Oryctolagus cuniculus: one gene and its partners. The protein of the gene in region 2 binds, or shares a complex with, the protein of the main gene of each other region. Links are inferred from orthologs where the notes say so. Each region holds a gene or a part of one and is shown on either strand. Other genes may lie near its edges.

The links.
Region 1: NUP153 (region 2) and NUP160 share a complex: the UniProt entries of both Homo sapiens proteins name them as parts of the nuclear pore complex. The link is inferred for Oryctolagus cuniculus from reciprocal best matches to the Homo sapiens genes NUP153 and NUP160.
Region 3: NUP153 (region 2) and CETN2 share a complex: the UniProt entries of both Homo sapiens proteins name them as parts of the nuclear pore complex. The link is inferred for Oryctolagus cuniculus from reciprocal best matches to the Homo sapiens genes NUP153 and CETN2.

What each region holds. Positions count from the first base shown.
Region 1 is NC_091432.1:18,169,507-18,173,255, reverse strand, and holds the start of NUP160 (nuclear pore complex protein Nup160), read right to left. Parts: upstream 2,329-3,749; 5' UTR 2,068-2,328; coding exon 1,968-2,067; intron 1,706-1,967; coding exon 1,594-1,705; intron 1-1,593. UniProt on the Homo sapiens protein: Functions as a component of the nuclear pore complex (NPC). Involved in poly(A)+ RNA transport.
Region 2 is NC_091436.1:144,878,123-144,881,771, forward strand, and holds part of NUP153 (nuclear pore complex protein Nup153), read right to left. Parts: intron 1,849-3,649; coding exon 1,720-1,848; intron 1-1,719. UniProt on the Homo sapiens protein: Component of the nuclear pore complex (NPC), a complex required for the trafficking across the nuclear envelope. Functions as a scaffolding element in the nuclear phase of the NPC essential for normal nucleocytoplasmic transport of proteins and mRNAs.
Region 3 is NC_091453.1:131,267,273-131,271,005, forward strand, and holds the start of CETN2 (centrin-2), read right to left. Parts: upstream 2,926-3,733; 5' UTR 2,711-2,925; coding exon 2,705-2,710; exon of another isoform or gene 2,348-2,704; intron 2,253-2,347; coding exon 2,094-2,252; intron 1,784-2,093; coding exon 1,655-1,783; intron 995-1,654; coding exon 857-994; intron 417-856; coding exon 327-416; 3' UTR 1-326. UniProt on the Homo sapiens protein: Plays a fundamental role in microtubule organizing center structure and function. Required for centriole duplication and correct spindle formation. Has a role in regulating cytokinesis and genome stability via cooperation with CALM1 and CCP110.

The DNA of each region.
Region 1 (3,749 bases), on a different chromosome or scaffold from region 2:
GCTATATCCCTAATCCCTAAACATTAACTGAAACATATTAGGCATGGAAAATATTTCTTAAGTAAAGGAGATTTCTCTAACTTAAGTCTCTCTTCTGAGACTCAGACATATACCTTGCCAATGCTTTCTTGACACCCTCAGAAGGCTGCTGCACTAGCACTTCAAATCTAGTATGTTCAGAAGAATCACTCACACCTTTCCATTTATATCTCAGTCACTGGCACCCTCCCACCCCATACCAGACTAGTCACAGCCAAAACCAGGACACCATCCTTGCTCTCTCCTTCCCCTTACCGCTTCCTGCCCACATTCAGTCTACCACCAAGTCCTACTCAATCTACTTTCTAAATATATTTTCAAACCACCTATTTCCTTTTTCCTAGCCACTCCCACATTTTGGTCATCATAAAAGTAAACTGATTTTTCACCTTATATCCAGCCAACCCAAATGTGCTTTCCACAAAGTAGACTGGTCTTGATGGTTTTAATTAACTCTTTAAAACTCTTCAATGATAGTCCAATGTACTTGAGATAAAATCCAGCACCCTGAAAAACAGGGTCAGGGCTGGCGCTGTGGCAGCATCCACCTGCCATGGCAGCATCCCATATGAATGTGGGTTCAAGTCCTGGCTGCTCCACTTCCTATCTAGTTCCCTGCTGATGGCCTGGGAAAGCGGTTGAAGGTGGCCCAGGTGCTTGGGCCCCTGCACCCACGTGGGAGACCTGGAAGAAGCTCCTGGCCCCTGGCTCTGGCCATTGTGGCCATTTGGGGAGAGAACCAGTGGATAGAAGATGTCTCTGTCTGTAATTATTCTGCCCCTCAAATAAATAAATCTTAAAACAAAAAAAAAACCACCTGGGTGTATGGGGGTCCCCTGTGGTCCGAGCCCTGCCTTACCGCTCCAGCCTCAGCATCCTTCACATCACTCTGTTCTGCCCACTGTGCTTCTGCCGCAGACTTTCAATCAGTTCCCCAAACCTGCCGAGCTCGTCCTTCCCCTTCGCGGCCTCTGCACGCAGGGACCCTACAGGCTGGACTGCTTTCCCCCAACACCTTCCTTGCCTGGCTAACCTTTGGTCGTTCAGGTCTCAGGTTAACTGCGGCTTCCTTGATGGTTTCCCCATTAGCCTCTCACAGCCCCTACACATGCCTCTGGGGCAGGTAGAGTCTGTATTCATACATCTATGTTTCACATCTTTTTCCCTCATAAAACTGTGCCATGAAAGGTGGAGCCACATTATTCCTGCATTGTTACAGCGGCCGGCCGATGAAAGCAGGGATTGTTTTTGCTCATCATTTCAGCCCAGCCCCTAGCACAACGCCTGATGTGGAACCTCCAACCTATCGGTGGGATGAAGGAGGCACGAAAGCACTGTAAGACAATCGGCTCCTGTTTGGAACGGGTCTTCTGGGCTTTATTCCCTAAGTCACATTCCCGCTGTTTCTACTGACACCTGGGGGCCTGTGTGTGTACATCGTACAGAAAACTCCCTGTCTCAGAAACTTCCCGATTCCGACAAGAACTGACAGGTGGGTGCCGCCACACAAAACCCTAACTTCCAGGGGGAGGGGTGGGTGAACGCAGCACTTACCAATGAATGAACCTGTTCCTGGTGATGGATAACAGTTTGCCGCTTTCCACATAGTAGAAGCCTCCCGCGCTCTCATTGTACTTCGCGGCCCCAGCCACAACATTTGCAGTCCCTGCAAAATGAACGCGGTCATCCTACACACGTGGTTCCCTAGGGATGACAGGGGCAGCGGGCGCCGGGCAGAGGGCGGCCGATTGACAATCCGTACAAAGAGAAAGGGGAGGAAGGAAGAAGTCGGATATCAAGGAAGCTCTCCGATCCAGAGACCACGGGCATGTGGACTGAGGATGAACAGGAGGGTCAGAGACCCAGGGACCCAAGGGGAGACACCGCGGAGAACGATCGGACCGCACCCTCCCCGGCCACTTCTGTACCAACGCAGCTGACTGTGAATTCCCGAAAGTGCCTCGGCCTCTCCCGCTCGGCTCCGCTCAGCTCCAAGAAGCTGCGTTCCAGCGCTCCCGCCGCCGCCATCTTCCCGCCGCCGCCGCCGCGAGGCCCGACGGGACAACGGCAGGGCCGCGTGGTGTCGTCACTTCCGGGGGCGGGGCGAAGGTGGGGCCGTGGCGGACAGGTGGAGCGAGCCCGGGGGGATAAAGGCGAGTGTGAGCTTTTGTTGCTGGGCTTAGGTCGGGAGAGAGAGTAGGCAGGGAAGAACCCAGAAGAGAAGGCCCTGTGTACAGGAACTTTCGAAAAGGCCAAGCTAGGGCCCCTCCGGAGGGCAGCGCCCTTTACCCGGCGTCCTCACGGCTGGAGGCGGGACCGGGTGTGTTTCCATTTTAAAAACAGCGGCGCGGGCGGGCAGGCGGGCGGCGGGGCTGGGCCGGGCCTGCCCCGAAGGGCAACGTCCAGCCGTTTGGTCCTGGGTGGCGGCCGCCTCTCCCGCCGTCAGGATTCCGTGTGTAGAATTCTGCCCGGACTCCCTGGCGTCACCGTTAGGCGACACATGGGCTGCGGCAGGGCAGGGGCATTTTGTGTCGGCGTCCTTTCCTGAAGGTGGATGGGGCGTTCTTGGGTCAGGAGCATCGTGTGTGCAGTTGAATGCTGCTCAGCTGCGTCTGTGCAAGGACTTTGCCTTTGGTCCCGCCCTTGAGCTTGCTCTTGGCTGTCAGTGCAGTGAAGCGCCCATAGTGGATGTTTACGATATGCTGTAGGAGGTACTCGGGATTGAGGAAAATGCTAATTTCTACTGGGAAAGGTTATTTTCCTTAATAATAGCCAACGTTTGCTAAACATTACTGTAACCTTGCTATTGCCGGTGATGGCAGTTTTGTTCTGTCACTGTGTTTCATTCATCCTATTCTGACCCAGCCCCACCTCTCCCTCTCCGCCTCACCCTCCACCCTCTGGGACACCGACTGCAGCAGTGCAAATCCACCTGCAATCCACTGTGCTACCACCTTCTCACTCCCTCACTTGCTTGGTGTTTCCTGTCTTCCTCCTACTCCATTAAACACTGCAACCTTTTTTTTTTTTTAAGAGATGTCTTTATTGACTTGATTGTATGACAGTACATTCAACATTTTTTAAAAAGATTATTTATTTTATTTGAAAGGCAAGAGTTACAGAGAGGTAGAGGCAGAGAGAAAGAGAAAGATCTTTTGTTCAACTGGTTCACTCCCCAGATAGTCACAACGGCCAGAGCTAGGCTGATCTAAAGCCAGCAGCCAGGAGCTTCTTCTGGGTCGCCCATGCGGGTGCAGGAGCCCAAGGACTTGGACCATCTTCCATTGCTTTCCCAGGCCATAGCAGACAACTGGATCAGAAGTGGAGTGGCCAGGACTTGAACTGGCCCCTATATGGGATGCAGGCACTGCAGGCTGCGGCTTTACCCGTGATGCCACAGCACCAGCCCCACACTGCAACCTTTGATTACATCCAAATTCACAGGTGAATGTGATCAGAAAAATAGACACCCACGCTGGCATGCCTCCTAACTAGGGTTATGAACCTTGGGAAACAATCTTGCTTTAGGGGAGCGGGACCCCTGCAGTGACTTGGGGGGGTAGGACTCAGTTGTAGTAGAGGGGTCATTCTGTCTCCCTCCCCTGCTGCCACTGGACTCATATCTGAGGCCCATGGAAGGAAGACTGGAGGACCAAGAAAGGCACCAAGTTCATTACAAATTCTATAAAACATTGAGAGTACTGTACTGA
Region 2 (3,649 bases):
TAAATTTTTTTAAAAAAATTTATTTGAAAGGCAGAGTGACAGAGAAGAAGAGACAGAAAAAGATCTTCCATCTGCTGATTCACTTTCCAAATGCCTGAACAACTGGGGCTGTGCCAAGCCAAAGCCAGGGACCCAAAAACTACATTAGGGTCTTCTATGTGGGTGGCAGGAGCCCAAGCACTTGGGCTATCCTCCTGCTGCTTTTCCAGGCATTTTATGCAGGAAGCTGAATCGGAAGCAGAGCAGCTGGGACTCGAACCACCACTCATATGAGATACTGGTGTCACACTCACTGTACCGTCACAACACCAGCCCTGAGACCAGTTAACTTTTAATTTTGCACACACCACCAGTGACCCATGTCTCTCACCTTAATAACCAAAAGAAAAGAAAAAGGGAAGATCACATTTCTTTTCCTCCCCACTTTTTCAGAATGTCTTGATTTCACTCAAATGAAGACTCTCCCAAATTTTTCAGACTTAAACAAGGGTTTGACATTATGAATACAAAGTGTAACCCTAGTATTTTTTTTTTTTTAAGAAAGATTGATTTATTTTATTTGAAAGAGTTACAGAGAGAGAGAGAGAGAGATATCTTTTCAATCAGGTACACTCCCCAGATGTCTACAACGGCCAGGAGCTTCATTTGGGTCTCCCATGTGGGTGGCACAGGCCTAAGTACTTGGGCCATCTTCCTATGCTTTTCTCAAGCCATTAGCTAGGAGCTAGATAGGAAGTGCAATGGCTGGGACTTGAACTGGCGCGCATATGGTATGCCAACATTGCAGGCAGAGGCTTTAATCATTATGCCACAACACCAGACGCAACACTAGATATACATGCTGCTCCACTCCCGATCCAGCTCTCTTCTGTGGCCTGGGAAAGCAGCAGAAGATGGCCCAAGTCCCTGGGCCCCTGCACTCACGTGGGAGACCTGGAAGAAGCTCCTGCCTCCCGGCTTCAGATCTGCGCAGCTCCTGCTGTTGCGGCCAATTGGGGAGTGAACCAGCGGATAGAAGACCTCTCACTCTCTCTGCTTCTCCTTCTCTCTCTGTGTGATTCTTTCAAATTAAAAATGACACCTGGAACAAAAACTTTATCCTTCTAAGTCATGCAAAAAAGCCAAATCTTATACTTAAATCATTTTACAACAAAGACATCTGCTGGGTAAATCTATAGTGTTCTTAAACTACTAGATTACCTATGAACATTTTGACATTTTTATGTTACACATCACAACTGAAACTGTGAACATATTTCATTTCTTCAAACTACTACCAACTAGCTTTCAAGCCTTGCTTCATTTCAGGTAAATACTTTCCTCTGGGCATATATGTTACAATTCATCAAACGTGGCCTTGTTTGGTATATACCAAACTGCAGAATAATTTGAGATGGCAGTTGAATGCTTTCATCAGAGGAACATGTGTGCAGGTACATCATTAAACTTATTTGCTTATTTCACATGGGCCTAGCTCTAATAACACATAATTCATTTTCTCCTGCCTTTGCCTCTTAGAGACCTCATGTTAGTGAAGTCCTTGAATAGCACACAAATTCCCACAAAAGAATTAATATCTACATAGCTACTTTGAAAAGTCCCCTCCTATCAGATTAGTCAGCATTTTTTTATAAAGTACAACACCAAGTGATATTAAAATGAAGTCCTGAGTTTGTATAATAAGATTTTTGATTATCACAAGAGCAGTCATTATCTTACCAGGGTTTTTCAGAAGATCTAGGACACTTCCCTCTTTCATAATTTTTGCAGGTCTAAAAGGACCCTCATAATCTTCACCTTGCCTCTTCATACAGATTGTACTGCTGGTCACTGCAGTGGTATCTTGAGCTGTAATTATTTTAATTATAAAAGCTATTATGCCAAGAAAAAGCATTGGACTCGAATTAATTTAGAAAAAACTTTCAAAGCGAACTCTTGGATCGATTTCTAAAACTTTAGTAAAAAAGCCACTTTACTGAACATACTGATAAAAAAAACCTGATAAGTAATTTCCAACTGAGCCAATTATTTCATTTCTAGAAATTTATACAATTTAAAATATCTTTCAATTATAATATTAAACACCTATGTGATAAAATGGTTAAAAATAAGGGCCTAGTAGTTACAAGAATCACAATAGTAACATAATGAAATGCTAGGTAGTCACAAAATAATCTTAAAAGCATAGTTTATGGGGGACAGCACAGTGGGATAGCAGGATAAGCTGCTGCCTTCAGTGCCAGCATCCCGTAAGGGTGCCCGGTTTGAGTCTTAGCTGCTCCACTTCCAATCCAGCTCTCTGTATGGCCTGGGAAAGCAGTAGAAGATGGCCCAAGCCTTTGGCCCTTGCACCCCCGTGGGAGACCTGGAACAAACTCCTGGCTCCCGGCTTCAGATCAACACAGCTCTGGCTGTTGAGGCCAACTGGGGAGTGAACCAGCTGATGGAAGACCCCTCTCTCTCTCTCTCTGCAACTCTTTCCAATAAATAAATATTAAAAAAAAAAAAGCATAGTTATGGGTAAAAGGAGGTTAGAATAAGTGCAGAGGATTAAGAATATTCGTATCTAAAGATTAATGGTGGCTACCAATGGTAAAATGAGTGCTCATTATAGCTTTTATTTTTCATACTTTCCAAAACAAGCGTATCTTTGTATGTAACGTAAGCGATCTGGGGTTTTGGGTTAAAATGCCCATATCTCACATTAGAGCACCTCGGTTTGATACTCAGTTCTGTCTGCTGGCTCCAGTTTCCTGCTAATTTGATCCTGAGAGACTGTAGTGACAGCTCAAGTAACTGGGTTCCTGAGACCCCATGGGAGATGTGGATTTAGTTCCAGTCTCCTGGCTCTGCCCACACCTACTCCCTGCTGTCCCATTTGGGGAGTGAATCAGCAGACAGGAGCACGCAATAAAAGGGGGTTGGCATCATGGCATAGAGGTAGCTGCCTGCGGTGCTGGCACCCCATACAGACACTGGTTCAAGTCCCGGCTGCACTGTTCCACTTCCAGTCCAGACATCCTGGCTGCTACACTTCTGATCCGGCTCCCTGATAATTCACTTGGGAAAGAAACCAAAGATTGGCAAAGTAACTGGGCCTCTGACACCCACGTGGGGCAATCCAGAGGAAGCTCCAAGCTCCTAGTTTTGGCCTGGCCCTGCAACAGCCATTGCAGCCATTTGGGGGATAAACCAGTAGATTAAAGATGTCTTATAAATAAATAAACAAATGTTAATAATAAAGTAAAATAGGGGCTAGTGCTGTGGCACAGAGGGTTTAGCTGCTGCCTGCCAAGGCTGGCATAACACACAGGCACTGGTATGTATCCCAGATACTATACTTCCAATCCAGCTCCCTGCTAATGGCCTGGGAAAAGGAATAGTAGATGGCCCCAGTGTCTGGGCCTCTACCACCCACTTGGAAGACCCAGATGAAGCTTTTGGCTTCTATCTGGCCCAGCTGTTTTGGCCATTTGGGAAGAGAACCAGCAGATGGAAGATCTAATTCTGATTTTCAAAATAAATAAAGCAATAAATATTTAAATAAATTAATAAACAAAAGTTATGTAATATATGTTTCATCAATACAACTATGCTCCCCAAAATAAAAACCACTGTTCCTACAATTGTGTCAATAAAGAAAACATGT
Region 3 (3,733 bases), on a different chromosome or scaffold from region 2:
CAGTGTGCATCTCTGTGACATATATGACAAGAGCGAAGCAATGCAAGGCAAATGGAAGGTGGGCAATGCTTTAAGACCCTTTTCTCCGCTCCAATGTGCTCTTATTCTGCTTTGGAGAACTCAAGTAATCAGCAGGTCATTTTACAAAGAGATTGAGTATCAAAGAACACTTTAAAAGTCTGAAATAGATTAGAGGCCATAACTAAAATTATGTAGGGAGGTCAGTGCAGGAGAAAATAGTTTGTGTTCTCAAAAGCCAGATTTTACACAATGGCAGGCACTAAATCTAGTTAGGTGTGCTTGCAGTAGAAAAGACGACATGGATCTTAGTAAAGGCTGGTCTTTTTCATGATGCGCAGGAACTCTTGCTCATTGACTTCTCCATCTCCATCTCGATCAGCTTCATCAATCATTTCCTGCATGACAGTAAAGATTCAGAGAACATTAATTCATAAAATAAACAAAAAGGTGACTACATCATAGGCTTTAACATTGCTATTTGAATAGACAATTGTAGTCTACTCGATACATTATAATAACTTGGCTCTTGAAGAGTCATTGGAAAACCAAGTCATATTTTGTCATACATGTCACCTGGAAGGAAGTTCGAAGGACTTGACCAGAAGGACTCCCAAAACCTAAAACAGTAAATAAAACTGTACACACATGCATTTTTCTGGAAGCAGGGTCATAGGATTGTCAGACTATCAAAGGAAAGTTACGTTGTTAGCAAAGGGGCCAAAGAACAGTATCTTTCATTCAAAGAGGTTTTCCCACCAGGGAAAAATCAAAAGCAGAGAAGTCTCAGAGGGCTCAACGGTGGGAATTCACCGTTCCAGCCTCACACATGACAAACCTGTAGCTCCTCATCTGTCAGGTTCTCGCCCAACTCCTTGGCCACGCGTTTCAGATTTTTGAATGATATCTTTCCAGTTTCATCATCATCGAAGAGCTTGAAAGCTTTCAGAATTTCTTCTTTGGTATCTTTCTCAGACTTAACAAGTAGAACATAAAATGCATTATCAGGAAAACACCATGGTTACCCGTGTTCCATAGCCCCACCACTGCCCATTCCCCCCCCCCCCATTTACAACAATACAAGCCAAGAAGACAAAGAACAGAATTAGAGGCAGCTGCTGAGACACCTAGTGAACCTGACACTGCACATTGGCATGCTAAGCCCTGGTATTTTGCTGTGTTCTCCTGTTCAGAGTTTGCTCTAGTTCAAATGCCAAGGAGGGACTTCCAGGGGAATCAACTTCTTAGATTCATTCCCTAACCCTCCACCTTGCATTTAAAAATGAATGGTGTCTACAGTTTTTCTATTTGGGTTTATCACAGATATATCAGTTGGAAAAACAGTGAAAAATGACACTTTTGCTACTTTACAAAGGGTGAAATGACTTCATTAGTTTGTGACCTTGAAGAAAGCCAAAGAGAATTTAGGCTAATTCTCAGTCAAAAATACTATCTTTTATCAGATGAATTCTCCAATCTTTGTCAATTTTTCTCCAATTAGGTCATTTTCACATCTAGACTAGATAGATAGACTTTATCACTATTTTAAAATTATTTTTGCATTTACTCTAGATAGATAGACATTATCTATCACTATGAGTAAAAAACATGCTAATGGTTATCTCAGCTAACTTACCATTTTCTGAGTCATCACAGTCAAAAAGTCACTAAAGTTCATTTTTCCAGTGCCTTCCTTATCAATTTCACTTATCATTTTCTTGATTTCTTCTTTCTTGGGTTCAAACCCCAGGGCTCTCATTGCCACCTGTAAGGAAACAGGAATGTCTCAATATGCATATCTGAATCTAGCAGGAGCAAATATAAGTGTTGAGAATATTAAGCCAACATCTACCATAATAATGGTAAAATGACTACAGAATAAACATTGATGTAACTGACCTTTGTTGTCAATTTTATTTAGTAACACTTGGCATAATAAAAGACAGGAAAAGAGAGCACAAAAATCCCAGCCCTGTTAGTTTTTACAGGAAGGAGAGGGCAAAAGGGGTAGAGTTGTGACAGAGAAAGGGTAAGGAAGAAGCAGAGGTAGTATAGCAAGAACGTGCAGGGCTTACCTTAAGTTCTTTAACATCTATGGTCCCAGTTCCATCAGCATCAAAGAGATCAAAAGCTTCCCTGATTTCTTGTTTCTGCTCTTCAGTAAGCTCAGGCTTAGGACTCATCCTTTTCCGCTGGGAACTAGATGTTATGTTTCCCTTCTTAAAGTTAGAGGCCTGTAGAAATTATACGAACACATGAGCACACTATTATGTAATACAGTCCATAGTTACAGACACTGCTATCTCTTTTAAAACTAATTTATACCAACCAATTCCCAATTTCTGCTCAACAAGAGATAATGGGGTTTATTGGAAAGAATGAAACTTCCCGTGAAGCGCTCTCCCTCCCTTTTCTTTAGTAGTATTTGTTAGAAGCAAAGAGATCCCTTGTTCTTCGGATACATCACTCCGAGGCAGTTAGCTAAGGAAGTGACTGTAGATAACTCGAAGTGAGTACTGCCCTCCCTGAACGCGGGGATCCTGGCTCCAAAAACAACCCCTCGCGGTACTAGGCTTCCCAAGAGGTACTCTGACTTTCCGATTACTTCTGGATTTGGCCAAAGATTATTAAGTTGTTTAGATAAGTGTTCTGTCCATATCAAATAGTAAAACAATCTATTTGGCACCTTCATGCCCTCCCCAAGATGCTCAAAGCATCTCCGGAATGCCCATATTTAAATTGTAAAATACAAGTTAACAATCAGAACATAACAAAGCTCCTCCCAGGTGGGGGAAGTTTGGCAGAGAGAGGAGGCCAAGATCTGAAAGGGCCAGGATCTGAGAGGGGTTGGGCCCTCTTCTTTGCCTAGGAAGTCCCCGAGGCGGGTAGAGAAAGCCAGGGGGACCCGAGGGACGGGTAAGGGCCCGCTGTGCATGACGGGGAGGCTAGGGCGAAGCGCAGGCCCAGCGGGGTGGCTGGCGTGTCTACCCTTCCGGGAAAGAGCTCAAAGGAAGGATCAGTGCACTAAAGGTGAGCAAGAGAGTCAGTGTGGTGTGGCGGGGCCGCAGCCCTGAGAAGGACTCAGTCCCTGGGTGCAAGGCCGGACTGGGGAGCCAGCACTCACCATAGCCGACGCACTCCGCTGCCCGTTGTTACGGCAACCTACGTACACACCGACTCGGCGCCATTCCCACCGCCCCGCGCGCGCGGCCCAGCTCCCTGTTGGCTGCCGGCTCACCTCCAGCGCTCCCCATTGGTCTACGTCTGGAGTGGGTAGGGCTAACCTCACAAAGCCCGGGCCCAGGCGGGGGGCGGTGCGCTGGGAGGGTGAGACCTGCTCTCATTGGACAACATCACGCTGAGAGCTCCGACTGGCTGAGCCGACTCTAGGCCCGGCCAATCCGCTAGGTAGAAGGAGCTCGGCTGATTCTCAGCTCACACAGGCGGGGAAAAAAGGGTGGCCTTCCTAGGCTGGAGCTCGGTCCTTGTCGGCGGCGGGCTAGCTGAGATCAACCGGGGGACATTTACGGACCGAAGGGTAAGAGTCGCCACGTAGGCTTCGGAAGCCGCTTTGTATCGGCGACAGGGCAGGGCGGGCGAGCGAAGGACTAGGCGGGGCGGTCTGAGTGGCAGTGGTTTTCTGGTCTGGCCTAAGACTGAGTTAGGAACAAGGGCATCAGGAAGATCCCAGGACCTTCGTGTGGGAGCTGGGACT